2 linked regions of the Schizosaccharomyces pombe genome follow. The protein of the gene in region 1 interacts with the protein of each later gene in a biochemical or structural test. Each region holds a gene or a part of one and is shown in the gene's direction. Other genes may lie near its edges.

Region 1 (8,699 bases):
ACGTTTTATGTAGTCTATTTCCATATTCGGTGAACAAGTAAATCCTGGATTGGCTGCTGTTCCTTTAATTGTTGTTGTCGGTATTACCGCTGTTAAAGACGCTATTGAAGATTTTCGCCGAACCATGCTTGATATTCATTTAAATAACACCCCTACCCTTCGTTTAAGCCATTATCAAAACCCAAACATTCGTACTGAATACATCAGCTACTTTAGACGATTCAAAAAACGGATCTCCGCTCTTTTTCGCGTATTTCTAGCAAAGCAGGAGGAAAAGAAGAGAGCAAAGCGTTTGAATGACGCTGTACCTTTGGAAGATATGGCAGGTTCTGAATCAAGACCTAGTTATGATTCTATTTTCAGAGAGTCTTTTGAGGCAAAACGATCGTTTGAAGATTCAAAGGGCAAAGTCCCCTTAAGTGCTTTAGATGGGACTGCAACTATTCTCCAATCGCGTCCCATGGATATTATTGATTATGAAGCCGAAGCTACTGGCGAGTGCCATTTCAAAAAAACATACTGGAAGGATGTCCGTGTAGGTGATTTTGTAAAAGTTATGGATAATGATGAAATTCCCGCAGATATAGTCATCATTAATTCATCCGACCCTGAAGGTATTTGTTACATTGAAACCAAGAATCTTGATGGTGAAACCAACTTAAAAATGCGTCACGCTCTAACGTGCGGAAAGAATGTAGTTGACGAGGCCTCATGCGAGAGATGTCGTTTTTGGATAGAGAGTGAACCACCACACGCTAACCTTTATGAGTATAATGGAGCATGTAAGTCCTTTGTCCATTCTGAAGCAGGTGGCTCTGATACCTCCCAAACTGTTTCAGAGCCCATCAGTCTGGACTCAATGCTATTGCGTGGTTGTGTCCTTAGGAATACAAAATGGGTGATTGGAGTTGTCGTATTTACTGGCGATGATACCAAGATTATGCTGAACTCTGGTGCTCCGCCATTAAAGCGTAGTCGCATTACTAGAAATCTTAATTGGAATGTTTATCTTAATTTCATTATCCTTTTCTCCATGTGTTTTGTTTGCGCAGTTGTCGAAGGAATCGCCTGGCGTGGTCATTCTCGCTCCTCGTATTACTTTGAGTTTGGTTCCATTGGTGGTTCTCCTGCCAAAGATGGTGTCGTCACGTTTTTCACTGGTGTTATTCTTTTTCAAAACTTGGTGCCCATTTCGCTTTATATTTCAATTGAAATCGTTAAGACCATCCAGGCAATTTTTATATATTTCGACAAAGACATGTATTATAAGAAGCTAAAGTATGCTTGTACTCCAAAATCTTGGAATATTTCTGACGATCTTGGACAAGTGGAATATATCTTTTCTGATAAAACAGGTACTCTTACTCAAAATGTTATGGAATTTAAAAAATGTACGATCAACGGAGTTGCGTATGGTGAGGCATTTACCGAAGCAATGGCGGGAATGGCAAAACGCGAGGGAAAGGATACTGAAGAATTGACTCTTCAAAAGCAAAGTTTCATTGAACGTGACCGAATGCAAATGATTTCTCAAATGCGAAATATGCACGACAACAAATACCTTGTGGATGATAACCTCACGTTCATCTCGTCGCAGTTTGTTCATGACCTTGCTGGCAAAGCTGGTGAAGAACAGTCACTTGCATGCTATGAGTTTTTCTTGGCATTGGCCCTTTGTCATAGCGTAGTTGCAGACAGAGTTGGTGACCGGATTGTCTATAAAGCACAATCGCCAGATGAAGCTGCACTCGTGGGTACCGCCCGCGACGTTGGCTTTGTTTTTTTGGACCAGCGGAGAGACATTATGGTTACTCGTGCTCTTGGAGAAACCCAAAGATTCAAATTGATGGATACTATTGAATTCAGCTCAGCGAGGAAGAGAATGAGTGTGATCGTTAAAGGACCCGATAACCGTTATGTGCTTATTTGCAAAGGTGCTGATAGCATTATTTTCGAACGTTTGGAACCAAATGAACAAGTTGAATTACGTAAAACCACTTCTGAGCATCTCAGAATTTTTGCATTGGAAGGTTTACGAACACTTTGTATCGCAAAAAGAGAGCTTACTGAAGAGGAATATTACGAATGGAAAGAAAAGTATGACATCGCCGCATCTGCAATTGAAAACCGTGAGGAGCAAATAGAGGAAGTTGCCGATTTGATTGAATCTCATCTTACTTTGCTCGGTGGAACAGCTATTGAGGATCGATTACAAGAAGGAGTACCTGATTCAATTGCATTATTGGCTCAAGCCGGTATCAAATTGTGGGTTCTGACCGGAGACAAAATGGAGACTGCTATTAATATTGGTTTTTCTTGCAATTTATTGGACGCTGGCATGGACATGATTAAGTTTGATGTGGACCAAGAAGTGTCAACACCAGAGTTGGAAGTTATTTTAGCTGACTACTTATATCGTTATTTTGGTTTGTCTGGATCAGTTGAAGAACTTGAAGCTGCTAAGAAGGATCATGACACTCCCTCTGGCTCTCATGCGTTAGTTATTGATGGATCAGTACTTAAACGAGTTTTAGATGGTCCAATGAGAACCAAGTTTCTGCTACTTTGTAAAAGATGCAAGGCTGTCTTGTGTTGCCGTGTTAGTCCGGCTCAAAAAGCAGATGTTGTTCAATTGGTACGCGAAAGCCTTGAAGTAATGACGTTAGCCATTGGAGATGGTGCGAATGATGTTGCAATGATTCAAAAAGCTGATATTGGTGTTGGTATTGTTGGTGAAGAAGGCCGTGCTGCAGCTATGTCTGCGGATTATGCAATCGGTCAATTCCGATTTTTGAGCAAGCTGGTTCTTGTTCATGGCCGTTGGGATTATAATCGTGTTGCTGAAATGGTAAACAACTTTTTCTACAAGAGTGTTGTATGGACATTTACTTTATTCTGGTATCAGATTTACAACAATTTCGACGCAAATTACCTTTTCGATTATACTTATGTTATGCTGTTTAACTTGATTTTTTCATCGTTACCTGTCATTGTCATGGGTGTCTATGATCAAGATGTTAATGCTGATTTGTCGCTTCGGATCCCTCAGCTTTACAAGCGTGGTATTTTGCAATTAAATTCAGCCAGGAAAATCTTTATTGGATATATGCTTGATGGGTTTTATCAGTCTGTAATCTGTTTCTTTTTCTCTTTTCTTGTGATTAACAATGTGACCACAGCTGCTCAGAATGGTCGTGATACTATGGCTGTACAAGATTTAGGTGTTTACGTTGCTGCGCCAACTATTATGGTTGTCGACACGTATGTTATTCTGAATCAATCAAATTGGGATGTGTTTTCAATTGGTTTATGGGCGCTCAGTTGTTTGACATTTTGGTTTTGGACTGGCGTCTACTCTCAAAGCCTTTATACATATGAATTTTATAAATCTGCTTCGCGTATATTCAGAACTCCAAATTTTTGGGCTGTTTTATGTGGAACGATTGTAAGTTGTCTTTTCCCGAAGTTTTTGTTTATGACAACGCAAAAGTTATTTTGGCCATATGATGTGGATATCATTCGCGAAAGTTACCGCACTAAACGCCTTCATGAATTGGATGAAGAAGAGGAGATTGAGAATGCCGAACAATCTCCAGATTGGGCATCTTCTACTTTACAGGTCCCTTTCAACGCATCTTCGTCAAGTTTGGCGACACCCAAGAAAGAACCTTTACGTTTGGACACAAATTCGCTTACACTCACATCAAGTATGCCAAGAAGCTTTACCCCGTCATATACTCCAAGTTTCTTGGAGGGCTCTCCTGTGTTCTCTGATGAAATACTTAACAGAGGCGAATACATGCCTCATCGTGGTTCCATTTCTTCTTCTGAACAGCCGTTACGGCCTTAAAAAATGGCAAGTTAATAAGCTGAATTATCTAATCAAGATAATCTGTGTACCCATTCTATTTCTACGCTATGCTTAAGAACATAACTTTTCATACTAAAGAATGATGAATTATCGAATAATGATTATGATGTTATAGAAACATCTCTGCATACTAAATAAAATACATGAACGTTTACATTTTTCTTCTGAAATCAAAAGATTGCATCAAATTTAAAATGTATTTTGCATTCACAGTACATTTTAAAAATAACGAGATAAATTTACTATATCTAGTTTACATTTGTATGATAAATAATAAAAACAGACTTTTTAACAATCTTGTTCTAAGTAGTAAATTTGGTGGTTGGTTTTTTAAGTTTTGAAATTTCCAGCGACTGCTGTAATCAAACTTTGGTTGCTAAGGGTAAATGGCTGATACCTAACTCCGATGGAAATGTACTCTGCCGTAAACAAAACACGTAAGGTTATTATTGACAGGAGTTTTGCATTTTTTGGGGACCAAAACGTTGGATGTTTACGATACATATTTAAAGAAAACTAATAATGAATCGTGTTAATGATATGTCACCAGTTGAAGGTGATTTAGGACTTCAGCTAAGTTCTGAAGCAGATAAGAAATTTGATGCATATATGAAGCGACATGGTCTTTTTGAACCCGGCAACTTGTCGAATAATGATAAAGAAAGGAATTTGGAGGATCAATTTAATAGTATGAAGCTTTCCCCAGTGGCATCTTCGAAGGAAAATTATCCTGACAATCATATGCATTCAAAACACATTAGTAAGTTACCGATTGCAAGCCCTATTCCGCGTGGTCTTGATAGATCTGGCGAGTTGAGCTACAAGGATAATAATCATTGGTCAGATAGAAGTTCAACGGGTTCACCAAGATGGGAAAATGGATCTATGAACTTGTCAGTTGAAGAAATGGAGAAAGTGGTCCAACCTAAGGTAAAGAGAATGGCAACCATTTGTCAAATGTTCTTTTTAGACCATTACTTTGAGCAGCTTCATTATCTTTATACCCGCAAGCAAAGAGCCCGTCTTTTTGAAGAGCAGTTGCTTAAAGAGCCTGATTCACGAAGAGACGAGCTAGTGAAGCGATACAATGGACGTGAACGAGTATATCTAAGGAAAAGGAGGACACGCATTAGTCACGGAGATTTCCAGACCATCACTCAAGTCGGACAAGGTGGATATGGCTCTGTTTGGTTGGCTAGGAAGCGTGACACCAAAGAGATTGTTGCTTTGAAAATCATGAATAAATCGGTTTTGCATAAAATGGATGAGATCAGGCATGTTCTTACTGAGCGTGATATCCTTACGACAGCCAACTCGGAATGGTTAGTTCGTCTACTTTATGCTTTTCAGGATACTTCAAACATTTATCTCGCTATGGAATTTGTTCCTGGTGGTGATTTCCGTACTTTGCTTAGCAACAGTGGTGTTTTAAGGGATCATCATGCCAAGTTTTATGCTACAGAAATGTTCCTAGCTATTGATGCTTTGCATCAACTTGGTTACATCCATCGTGACCTTAAGCCAGAAAACTTTTTGGTTGGAGCTAGCGGCCATATTAAATTGACGGACTTTGGTTTAAGTTCTGGAATAATCAGCAAAAAGAAGATTGAAAGTATGAAGATTCGTCTTCAAGAAGTCAACAATGTCGTTGTTCCCGAAAGGAGCATGAGGGAAAGGCGACAAGTGTTTCGAACTCTTTTATCTCAGGATCCTGTATACGCTCATTCAGTAGTTGGCTCTCCTGATTATATGGCCCCAGAGGTTTTACGAGGTGAAAACTACAACCACTCTGTAGACTATTGGTCTCTTGGCTGCATCATGTATGAATGTCTTTCTGGTTTTCCTCCATTTTCTGGCTCCAATGTTAATGAAACCTGGTCTAACTTGAAGAATTGGCGCAAGTGTTTTCAACGCCCTCACTATGATGATCCCCGCGATTTGGAATTCAACTGGAGAGATGATGCATGGGATTTTGTATGTCACTGCATTACTGATCCCAAGGATCGCTTTTGTTCTCTTAAGCAAGTCATGCAACATCCTTACTTCTCAAAGATTGATTGGAAAAATGTTCGTACAGCATATCGTCCTCCGTTTGTACCCGACCTTAATTCTGAGATTGACGCAGGATATTTTGATGATTTCACTAATGAAAATGATATGTCTAAATATAAGGAAGTTCATGAGAAACAAGCTGCAATTGCTAATATGGTTAACACATTTAATAAGCCTAAACGCAATGCTTTTATCGGCTTCACTTTTAGGCATCAAAAAAATAGTCATCCTACTAGCTCTAGTAGCGCATTATCTAGTCCCCTCTCTGCTCCTTCTTTCGGGACTCTATTATAATCAAAGGGAAATTTAATGACCCTTGTTCATGGTATTTTTATAAGACATCTACTGTTATTAACTATTTTCGAAGATACTGAGCTTCGCTTTTGATGTTTTGACATTTACAGTACTGTCTTTTACTATTGCATTTCACTTTCGAACGGCATTTACATTACAATTTGCGAAAGTTATCACTTTAATTTTATGATGTTTATTTGGAAGTATCCTTTTTCATTATATTATATTATATTTTTATTTATCTTCCACTATTTTATTCGTCAATATTCAGCTTTCGCCATTTATATAGAAGAACTTGCAATTACCAGATAAATTATGTAAATCATTTACTTGATAGGGAAATAGACACTATCTGCAATTTAATATCTTGAACCATTTTTACTATTTTGGAAAATTTTTGTTTTCGTGTATTATTTGTTGTTTAGTGAGCTGTAAGATATTCGTTTTGTTGGCAACAGCAGAAGAGCTGTAACATTCATCAAACTGCGATACCTCATTATCCTCGTTTCTTACTGCTTTCCTCCTAAAGCGTCTACCTTTTGCTCTTTATTTCACTCGTAAATTAATCTGTTAATGAAAGATTCACATAGCTCTCGGAGGAAGTATGAGAAGGAAAAGTTGGTATTCGCAACGAATAATGGAAAAAGAACAGAGGGTACCCCAGCTTTTTTAAAAAGCGGTAACACAGCTTCTTCATCCTCCCCTACTCTTCAATTTCGTCCTACATCGAGATATCCGACATTGAGCCATGAACCAGTGTATACGAATGTTTTGGACCTGTCTTCAAGGATTGACGCGAACAGGGCTAGTATAATGAGCGCTACAATGGGTACTCCACCTTCAGCATTGAAATTCTCCAAGAAAAAAATATCCCGGCCTGTTGTTAGTGAAGATACCTTCAAAGACAAATTGCCGCGTGCAACCATACCGGTCAAGCCGGAGCCACAGCCACAGTATAAAATTCCAGCTGCACCTGCTCCTACAAGCAAACGTGTAGTTAACCGTGGGTTAAAGCTGAACACTAATTTGAGACAGGCTTCTCCTATTTTGCCTTCACCTAGTTTAAAGTTGGATCGGCAAGATGCCCCAATACAAATAAATCATGAGCAGAAAGAAGATTTTTTGGTTTCTATTCCGCGACCAACGCCAATGACCAATTTAGATGATGGAAAGGATGAGATTGGACAACCGGATCCTCATAGAAAATATATGGCACCTCCACGTGTTAATTCTATAAGTCGTGTACAGCGTCGTATGAGTTACATACCATACGGTGGGTTTGATGACTTCTTAGATAACTATTACAAGGATGACGATACTGTACTTGAAGACAATCAGCTTAAGAGTAACTCTCGAATAGAAACTTTGGAGGAAGAAGATGGAGCAGAAAGTGACTCCATCACAAATACAGTTTCTAATGCTTCGTCAGATGCAGAACCTGCTCATCGTCATTTGGGACCAGTTTATGAAAACTCTGGACACCTCCCTTCAAAAAGTCACTTTTCATCAACCGACTCGAATACAGATTCATTCGGGTTAGAAAGCGATGAACGTTCGCTTCCTTCAGTTTCTAATGACTTAAAATCATCCGAAACTTTGAAAAATCCTCGAAATGATGATTTGCTTACACTTCAACAACCACCTCGTTATCCACATTCTCAAATGGTAATGCTACCAGCTCGTTCTCCAGTTGAGGTTCCTGCTCCTACATTTGATCGTAGAAATGTTTCGAGGAACTCGAATAATAACTCTCCCGAAGGTTATGATAATAATCGCACAAACCCAACTGTTAATAATTTACCTTCATATCCTACAAACCTTGCACGTCCTAAGGCAATTAAACCAATGCCTACTTCTATACACGGTCAAACAAGTCCTTTATCGCCAATTCCTCCGGTACACACAACCCATGGGTTAGTTTCTGACATTCGTCCTCTCCCTTCTGTTTCTTCCCCGATAATGCGTGCTGATAGCACACCGATTTCACATAACTTAGCTGTGACACCTTCGTTTTCCCCTATTCCACAGCAAAGTAATAAGTCTATTGGTAATCACAAAAATACATCGGTTGCTAATGTATCATCCAAGGTTGCTAATTCCAAGTTTGAAAGGAATATATCTATGATGTCTAACAGTAATGCTTCTTCACCCGCTATTTTTGAAGTGGGTGCAGAAGCAAAAGAAAAGACGAAGGATGCGATTCCTTGTCATCCTGATGATAAGTTGATGATTCCGTCACCAAAAATTGTGACGCACGGAGACGCTATGCAAGAAGAACAGCGTCTTCGCCAAAAATCTCAAATCACACCTGATGACGAAGTTGAGTTGGCAAAAGTTTATTTGAATGCATTAGAAACTTTAGAAAACAAGCCGAGCTTAGCTCCCGACCAGGCTAGTTATAATACTCGAATCAATGTTTATCGAACCAGAGCTGTTGAACTTTTAAAAAAGAATGCTTATCCTAGCAAAACCCAGAATACTG
Region 2 (7,884 bases), on another chromosome or scaffold:
ATAAATCAAATGAAAGAAGCATCGTTTTTGATGCATGTAACATAGACATGTTTTACAGTGTTGCACTTAAATAGAATGGGAAATGTTCTGTAATATCCAAAATTTCATGGTTTTGATTTACCAGCGCATTACTAACGTTGTAGAAGGGGATTCGTAAAAGTTATATATAGTTAAACATGAAAATTGTGTGCGATAAAAGCCCTATGCGAAACATTAGCTCACTAGACACACAGTCATAAACACGATCACAAGTCCGGGCAGTTTGATTGAAAATGGCTCGTTTCAAACTATTTTAAATTATTTACAAGAATAAACAACCTTTGTAGAACACAAGTGAAAAGGATATGGAAAGAAGCTTGTAAAACAAGATGCAACTGAAAACGGTTTTACTTCAATGATAGCAAAGACATTTAAGAAAATGAAAATAGAAAATAAATGAAAAAGATCATAGATCGATGAGCGTTTGCAAATTTCGGAAAGCCCAATTTTCTTTTCAATTCAACAAAACCCTAGAATTGGGGTTAGAAAAATATAAATTGTCCGTTTGCTTTTACCAATTTTTTTCAACAAACAAGTTTAACTGAATTCGAATAAAAAGATCCCAATTCTCGCAATATCTCTCATTTTCAAATAAACCAGCAAATCCAATATCAATGCCACTTGATAACACACATAAAACTGATCATTTTAAATCCAGCATTCAGACGCAAGAAAAATGCCATGTCCTCAACGGAAAAAAAGAAAAACCAGGCCATATTCAGAGAGGTCATAAAAAAAATTTCAACTCATCTCATCACTGTATCGAAGACATCTTAAAAAGATACATAAAAAGCTTTATATATTCTCCATGTATGCACTGTATAACACAATTTGGGATAATCAGAGTACATGAAGACAATTAGTCTCTTTCAGGCATCAATTTTCGCACGCTGAATATCCCTCCTCTTCTTCTCGTAGACAAATTTATCAACTTCAAAAACAAACAAACCACTCCTTCTTCTTTTCGTAAATAAGAATGATTTAAAAAAAATACAAATACTACGAAATCCGGTCAAACGAACAAAAAATTGTGCAATGATCGAACAGGTGCTTATTAAAACTGCAAATTATGTTACTGACTGACTTTCCTTAGCAAAGCAAGCGACAATTTGCAAAACATTATTTTACAAAGGTAAGTAGAAAGTAAGAGAAGCGAAGCATGAAACAGAAACGATATATCGGCAGAGATATTATCAAGAAAATTTGTCCAAAGAACTGTACAGATATAATAATGCATACTAAACTTATATATAAGAAATTGATTATCAAAAATCACCCTTGCTTGCTTAATCTTAACTGACAAAACTGAGAAAAATCATGATATACATATCATCGTACTAGATGCCAAGAAACCCCAATTAAAGCAAGCTCGACGCAAACCCGAGAGGAATTATGTATAACGTTCTTGACAAAAGAGTGACAAGGCAAGCACTGCAACATGCGATTATTGGCTTTATGGACGCGTAGTAATGGAAACAAAAATTATGGAGAAGGGATCATTAAGAATTTTTGGGCACTAAGTAACTTTATGTTGCTGGAACAGTGTGGTAACGCAAGTCAATGCTATTGCGAAAAAAAGGTTAAGGGAATATCATCACAATGTGAGGTGAAATAAAATTGCAAACACCAAGTCGCTTTTTTGAAGGGAAACAATCTAAACTATAGCGACTGAAAATAGCTAGGAAAAAAAGATTAAAAAACAAACCCATGTAACTTATAATATCGTTTTGCGTAACAAGCTGCCAAGGAAAAATAGAATATACCTCACGCGCAAAGCAAACGGAAATAAAAATATGGAAGTTGAGAACTGGAAGAGAGAAAGAAAGTGTCGGACAAGGAAGTAAAAAAAGCTACGTTTTAAAAAACAAAAACTATTACATGTTTGAGGGGGTATATGTGTGCCATAAAAAACAAGATATTTGACTTGCACATACCAAAGTTAGATGAAATACTCGCTTCTTTTTCTGCTAGGGGGAACGGTACGATCTTCGTCGGCAACAGCCGAGAAAATACGAAATTCCGGTTCCAAAGATTCATCTACTTTCATAACACTTGCCACATTTCCACATCTATAGCAGTAATTGGGAGCACTCCAAACGGTAACAAGATTTTTATCGGCAAAATGATATTTGTAGCCCTCTTGAACAAGTTGATGAGCACGAGCAATCAATGTCAAGTCGTTGATTTGACTAAATTCGGTAGTAACTTTAGAACCAAACAACCATCCAGCTCCCCGAGGCGAAACAGTCCAAGATTCAATATCCTCTGGATCAGACCACATCAAATCGCAAAATGAGCCTTCATGGGGAATTTCTTGAGCACGCGCAAGAATACGAATCTGATCCAATGTGCGAACTTCCGGAGATAATCCACCATGCACGCATAAAATTTTGTTATCGATAACCGCTGCCAAAGTCAAAAAATCAAAAACTTGGCAACAATATTTCCAAACATTTGCATTTCCATATTTGGTTTGACACTCATCATAAAACCCGTAGACTTGAGTGATCTGGCGACTTTCGTGATTACCACGAAGCAATGTAATTTTATCTGGGTACCTTGCTTTCAAAAGCATAAATAACGTAAAAGTTTCTAAGCTAAAATAACCTCGATCCACAAAATCACCCATAAATATATAATTTGTGCTTGGCAATTCTCCACCTACTCGAAACAGTTCCAAAAGGTCGTAAAACTGACCATGTATATCACCACAAACAGTAACGGGAGTCCGCACAGGCTGGATATTGGACTCCTCCATTAAAATAACTTTTACCATCTCACACAATCGTTTCAACTGGTGTTCTGGAAGATATTTACACTTCCTTACTGTAGCGATCCATTCATCCAAGTCAAACATCGTTGTAGCACAAATTATTCAAGGATCTCTTCTAGATTATTAAACACAGTTATTTCTCAATACTTTCCTATTTAGAAATTGGCTTCCTAATTAAATATGTTGTTTGCGGAGAGTACGTAAGTTAGTACGTTGAATACTTAAGAGGGGTGTTTAACGTATTGTAACGATTAACGGCGTACCAAGTCTTTATCAGATATGGATGTTTGGTACATTCAAAAGTCGTATGAAAAAGTCTACATGTGGAAATGACCTTTTATATACAAATTTATATAGTCCGCTGATTAAATTGGGATGTCGTCGAACACATTTTATCCTTATTGCTAACGTCAAATTTTGTTGCAAATTTTCTTAAATTACCGAGGTGGGATTGCTTTAAATTATAAATACTTGTAGAGTTTTAAACGATTGAAAGTCTAGGTCATGAGGCGAAGATGAGAGAGTAGCATAACGAGAAACGTTGTCTGTAGAACGACAATAAAAGTGTCGTTTCCATAACCTTTAAATATAGTAAGCGAATTTAGGATCAGTTCGAAGATTGTTGCAAGCGTAGATCCAACTTGTGAAAAACTTGCTTACTAAAGAGCTTTCAAAGTCATGAAGAATATATGATATCTTGTTGATATAAATGGCATCTCCGTCGTCAAGTATGCGAAACCGTAGGCAAAAGAAAAATCGTACAGAGAAGGTTACCGAAGCAATTGCTATTAATTGTTTTTTATCGAGTCTTCCGAGTTAACAGAATAAAGTGAATCTCTCATGCACAAGTTTATCAACTCTTAGAACTACTTATAGCTTTGATTTTTTCCTCAAATACTTATGGCCATAATTTTCCTTCTGAATAAATAAATTTACTGGAATTCAACGTAACAAACAAAATAACGCTATACCCTTATTGTGGAAAATATCGTAAAATATGATAAGCAGCATTACGAATACGCTTGAATATCCTATGTCAAATTGTGCAAAAGGGTGATTGAGTCCCAGTACCACGACATCCCGTCGCGTCTCATAGACGTAAACAAAACTTCTTTTTTCTATGGAAGGTATGTGTGCTTTTCAGAAATCATGGAACAGTTATGGCTTGAACATGATTTAAGTGAAGAATGGATTCCGCAGCCACAAGAACAAGGGTCAGACAATTCTAGTGAACCACCAACCACATCAAATGTAAACAATACTCAATCTACAGGTCGTGGTAGTTCAGGAACTTCGACAGAGCATGGAACGTTTAAGAAAGGAAGAAATGATGCTCCGGATGTTCCTCAATGGAAACAGGTGAATGCAAAGAACCCTGTTGCTCGTGATATTTTTGCAAGGTTGGATTTGGAAAATATGTTTGAAGAAAGCAGCAAACAAAGCCCCCCTTCAAAGTCTCCAACAAAAAATCCGTCCAAAAAGTCCAGTAATAACTCTTCTAGGCGTAGTTCTTCTTCAGTTGGTAAACTATCTAATGTATCGAACATGCAATCTTCTCCTTCTAAAGATCCTTTCGTTTCACAGGATTACGAAAAAGAATCTATCTCCTCTTCTCAGTTTAGCAAAAAATACTCAGAAGGAAGCTTGAAAAGTCAACAATCTAATACCAGGTCTAACTCGGTTCACGAAAAGCAAAATACGGACCATGCTAGCAATGCATCGTCATCCTCATCCGTTGTTTCTTCTCCCTCCTTGAAGCCCAATAATACATCCCCCCTTAAACTTTTCCAAGGAGCTAGTGATCCGTTTACTCGTGAGCATTTGAATCAATTAACTCAAGATGTAAAGTCCAATTCATTTGAAAATGGGGAAAAACAATTTTCACTCCCTGAACCACGAAGACCACAAAAACCTATGCGTACAACTGAACGAAAGGCTAGCCTCAATACCAAAGATCTCTATCAAGAGGTTGAAGAAGTCATGGCAAGATTGCGAGGAAGAATGCCTAATTCGGGACGAGAATCTACAATTTTTCTTCCTCGAAAGCTCAGCGGACTTCGTGAGGAGGAGGAACAAGATGAAATTTCAGTTGAAGTAAGTCAAGAAGATAGCTCTAATGCATTTCCCTCCTTAAGTGATCAACTTCATTTAAAAAGTCTTCAAAGTATGAAAAGGGTTACCTCAATTTTCAATGATAATGATGATTCCTTTCCATCCGCATCTTCCTCCCCTCAACGCCAGGCATATATGACCGATAAAATGCCACTTCGGGAAATTGATGTTGGCTCTTCACAATCCTCTTCCAAGACTGCCCGATTAAATAGCTCTCCCAAATCAACGCTAAAAACTTCCAGTGTTAAAACCAGAAGAAGTCACTCTGCTCAAAGCTCAAGAAAAGTGTCTGATTATCCCAATATGGTGGTTATAACGCCAGCAGATCTTCCTGAAGGCATAGATACAACTCAAGGCTCCATGGAATTTGACAGGATACACAATCGGTGGCGGAGAAAAGGTCATGATTCAGACTTGGGCTTTGATTTTGAAACCGACGAAGATGCTAGTCTTTCGCATCCTGAGCGTACAATACTGTTTAAAGCGGCATCCACCAGACATCAAGCGAACAATGATCCAAACAATTTGGAGAAGCAACAACCTCATTCCTTTCCTTTGCGTAAGCAAAATGTTGCTCAATCCGAATTTCCTAAGCATTCATTAAGAGACAATAGCGAAAACGCTCCGCAAATTTTATCTTCCTTTCACGATTTATCCTTACAAAATGAGAGCTTTGATGAAATGTTTAATGGCAGGTATGAAAATGGGTCACCAATTCCTTTTATTTCTTCAGGTTCTGGATTGAAAAGTAAAGCCGACAAAGATGCTGAATATAGTTTTTCAGTATCTCGTCAATCCATAATTCAAATTCTTTCTGATGTTGAACCATATGAGCCTTTCTGGAAAAGGATTATACAATTAGACATCAGTAGACGACATTTGGATTCCTTGATTGGACTTTCTGAACTCTGTCCCTCTATTGAAGAGCTCACGTTGGAAGGAAATGAAATTGCTTACTTAACAGGATGCCCCGTTACGATAAGAGACCTGAATGCTGTTGAAAATCGATTGTCAAGTTTGACTTCATTTTCCAACCTATTAAACCTACAATATCTGGACATATCATATAATCAACTAGAGGACCTTACTGGTCTTTCTTCTCTAATTCACCTTCGTGAGTTGAAAGTTGACAGTAATCATCTATGGAGTTTAGATGGGATTCAACATTTGGATGGATTGCTAAAATTAAGCGCTTGCAATAACAGGATTAAAGAATTGTCATTTACGAATTCCAATCTTCATCGTCTTGAGGAATTGCTCTTGGGAAATAACGAAATAGAAGAAATCGAAGAAATAAGTTCGCTTCAAAACCTTATGGTTTTACAATTGGACAATAACAAACTAACCAACTTGAAAGCTAGCCAACCAATGATTCATTTGCGAATTTTACGCATCAGCAACAACGCCATACATCAACTTGAGGTAGATCAATTTCCTCATTTACGAACTTTATACATGGACCTTAATCGATTTAATCGTCCCCCTGACATCCGTCGACTAAAACGCTTAGTCAATTTTTCGTTCAGGACTCAAGATCCTGAAGCCTCCAATTTTGTCATTCAACCCTCTTTAGATATTCGAAATCTATACCTATCGAATAACACCTTCGTTACTCTTGATTGTAAGCACATGTTTCTGGGAGTGAGGTATCTGGAGCTTGCAAACGTTCAGCTCAAAGAAGTACCTAAATACATTGCGACCAGTATGCCCAATTTACGTGTATTGGACTTATCACATAACTATATATCAGACATAGAGTCGCTGAAACCATTGCAAATGATCCACCGACTTTACTTAGTGGGAAATAGAATCAAAAAGATGCGAAATTTATGTGATATATTGGCAAACCTGAAACAGTTAAACGTACTGGATCTGCGCATGAATCCTCTTAATTTCAACATTTATCCCGTAATTGACGACTCTATTTATGAGCTCTCTGCAGCCTCAAAATACCAACAAAGTATCAACCAAAAAGGTCATCATAGAAAAGAAGACCCGCAAAAGCAATGGCAGGAGAAAGAGCTGGCCTTTAGTTCCACTTTGTCTGAGGCATGGAGAACAAGAAGAAAAATGTATGCTGAAGCTATTTTATTGGCATGTCCACACTTAGAATGGTTGGATGGATCTGATGTTTCACAATCATCTCGCGCTGCATTCACCAAATCATCCAACTAGTATGACTTGTGAAGATATAGCTTGAAACATTTTTACCTTTCAAATAGCAAGATTGTTTCGCTGTTGTGTAAAGGTTAATAATCACAATACATAATACACCATAATACTCGCCATTACCATAGTGTAAATAATAATTCGATTTCTGGATGGCACATACAAAATGAATAAGCATAATGAAACGTGAAGGTCGTCTAAAAATATATATATATTAAAAAAAAAGAAAAAGAACCCTATTGAAAGAATAAAAAATAAAAGAAAACCCCTCCAACTCTTCTTACATTCAACTAGCTTAAAACAGATAAATTCTATTGAGAAACAGTGACATTAAACACACACATATGTACCATATAAGTATCAACTAAATAAAGGAAAAAGGTAAAGGGGGGACGGTTAAAAAATGCTTTGAAAGTGAAATTAGAAAACATGTAGAGATGATAAATGATAGATAAAACTCGATTGGTCGATAATTTACGAGCGGCCCCATGAAAATCTGCTGGGCTTCTTGTCGTTATTGGCTTGAACATCATTAATCGACCATGGATTTGGAGCTGGAGCTGAAGCGGGATCTTTAAAGGGATTTTCAGGATCTCTAAACGGATTTTCAGGAGCCTGTTCTGCAGGCTTATTGCGCATAAACGGAAAGCGGAAGCCCGAGTTAGATTTCGGAACGGGAACGGGCTCACGAACAGTTGGGGCATAGGAAGACAGAGAACGACTATCGTTGCTAAAAGTAGGCTTCAATTTTGAGACAGAGCCTCCACGCTTGAGACCATCATCCTCGGAAA

The links. Proteins that work in one complex are often made in the same cells at the same time.
Region 2: the proteins of sid2 (region 1) and cdc11 form a complex in vitro, tested with the Schizosaccharomyces pombe proteins (3 studies listed by BioGRID, with this or other methods).

Annotation. Positions count from the first base shown.
Region 1 is NC_003424.3:219,547-228,245, reverse strand, and holds sid2 (serine/threonine protein kinase (NDR family) Sid2), read left to right. Parts: upstream 1-4,292; 5' UTR 4,293-4,393; coding exon 4,394-6,217; 3' UTR 6,218-6,552; downstream 6,553-8,699. Other genes in the region: dnf2 (phospholipid-transporting ATPase), read left to right, coding at 14-3,850; cfh1 (chitin synthase regulatory factor-like Chr3), read left to right, coding at 6,791-8,699. UniProt on the Schizosaccharomyces pombe protein: Part of a signaling pathway. Required for initiation of medial ring constriction and septation.
Region 2 is NC_003421.2:2,048,630-2,056,513, reverse strand, and holds cdc11 (SIN component scaffold protein cdc11), read left to right. Parts: upstream 1-3,910; 5' UTR 3,911-3,961; coding exon 3,962-7,099; 3' UTR 7,100-7,384; downstream 7,385-7,884. Other genes in the region: serine/threonine protein phosphatase PP6 catalytic subunit Ppe1, read right to left, coding at 1,979-2,896; protein mug33, read right to left, coding at 7,568-7,884. UniProt on the Schizosaccharomyces pombe protein: Essential for the onset of septum formation. Involved in the organization of astral microtubules during mitosis. Acts as a bridge between sid4 and the other SIN proteins mediating their association with the spindle pole body (SPB).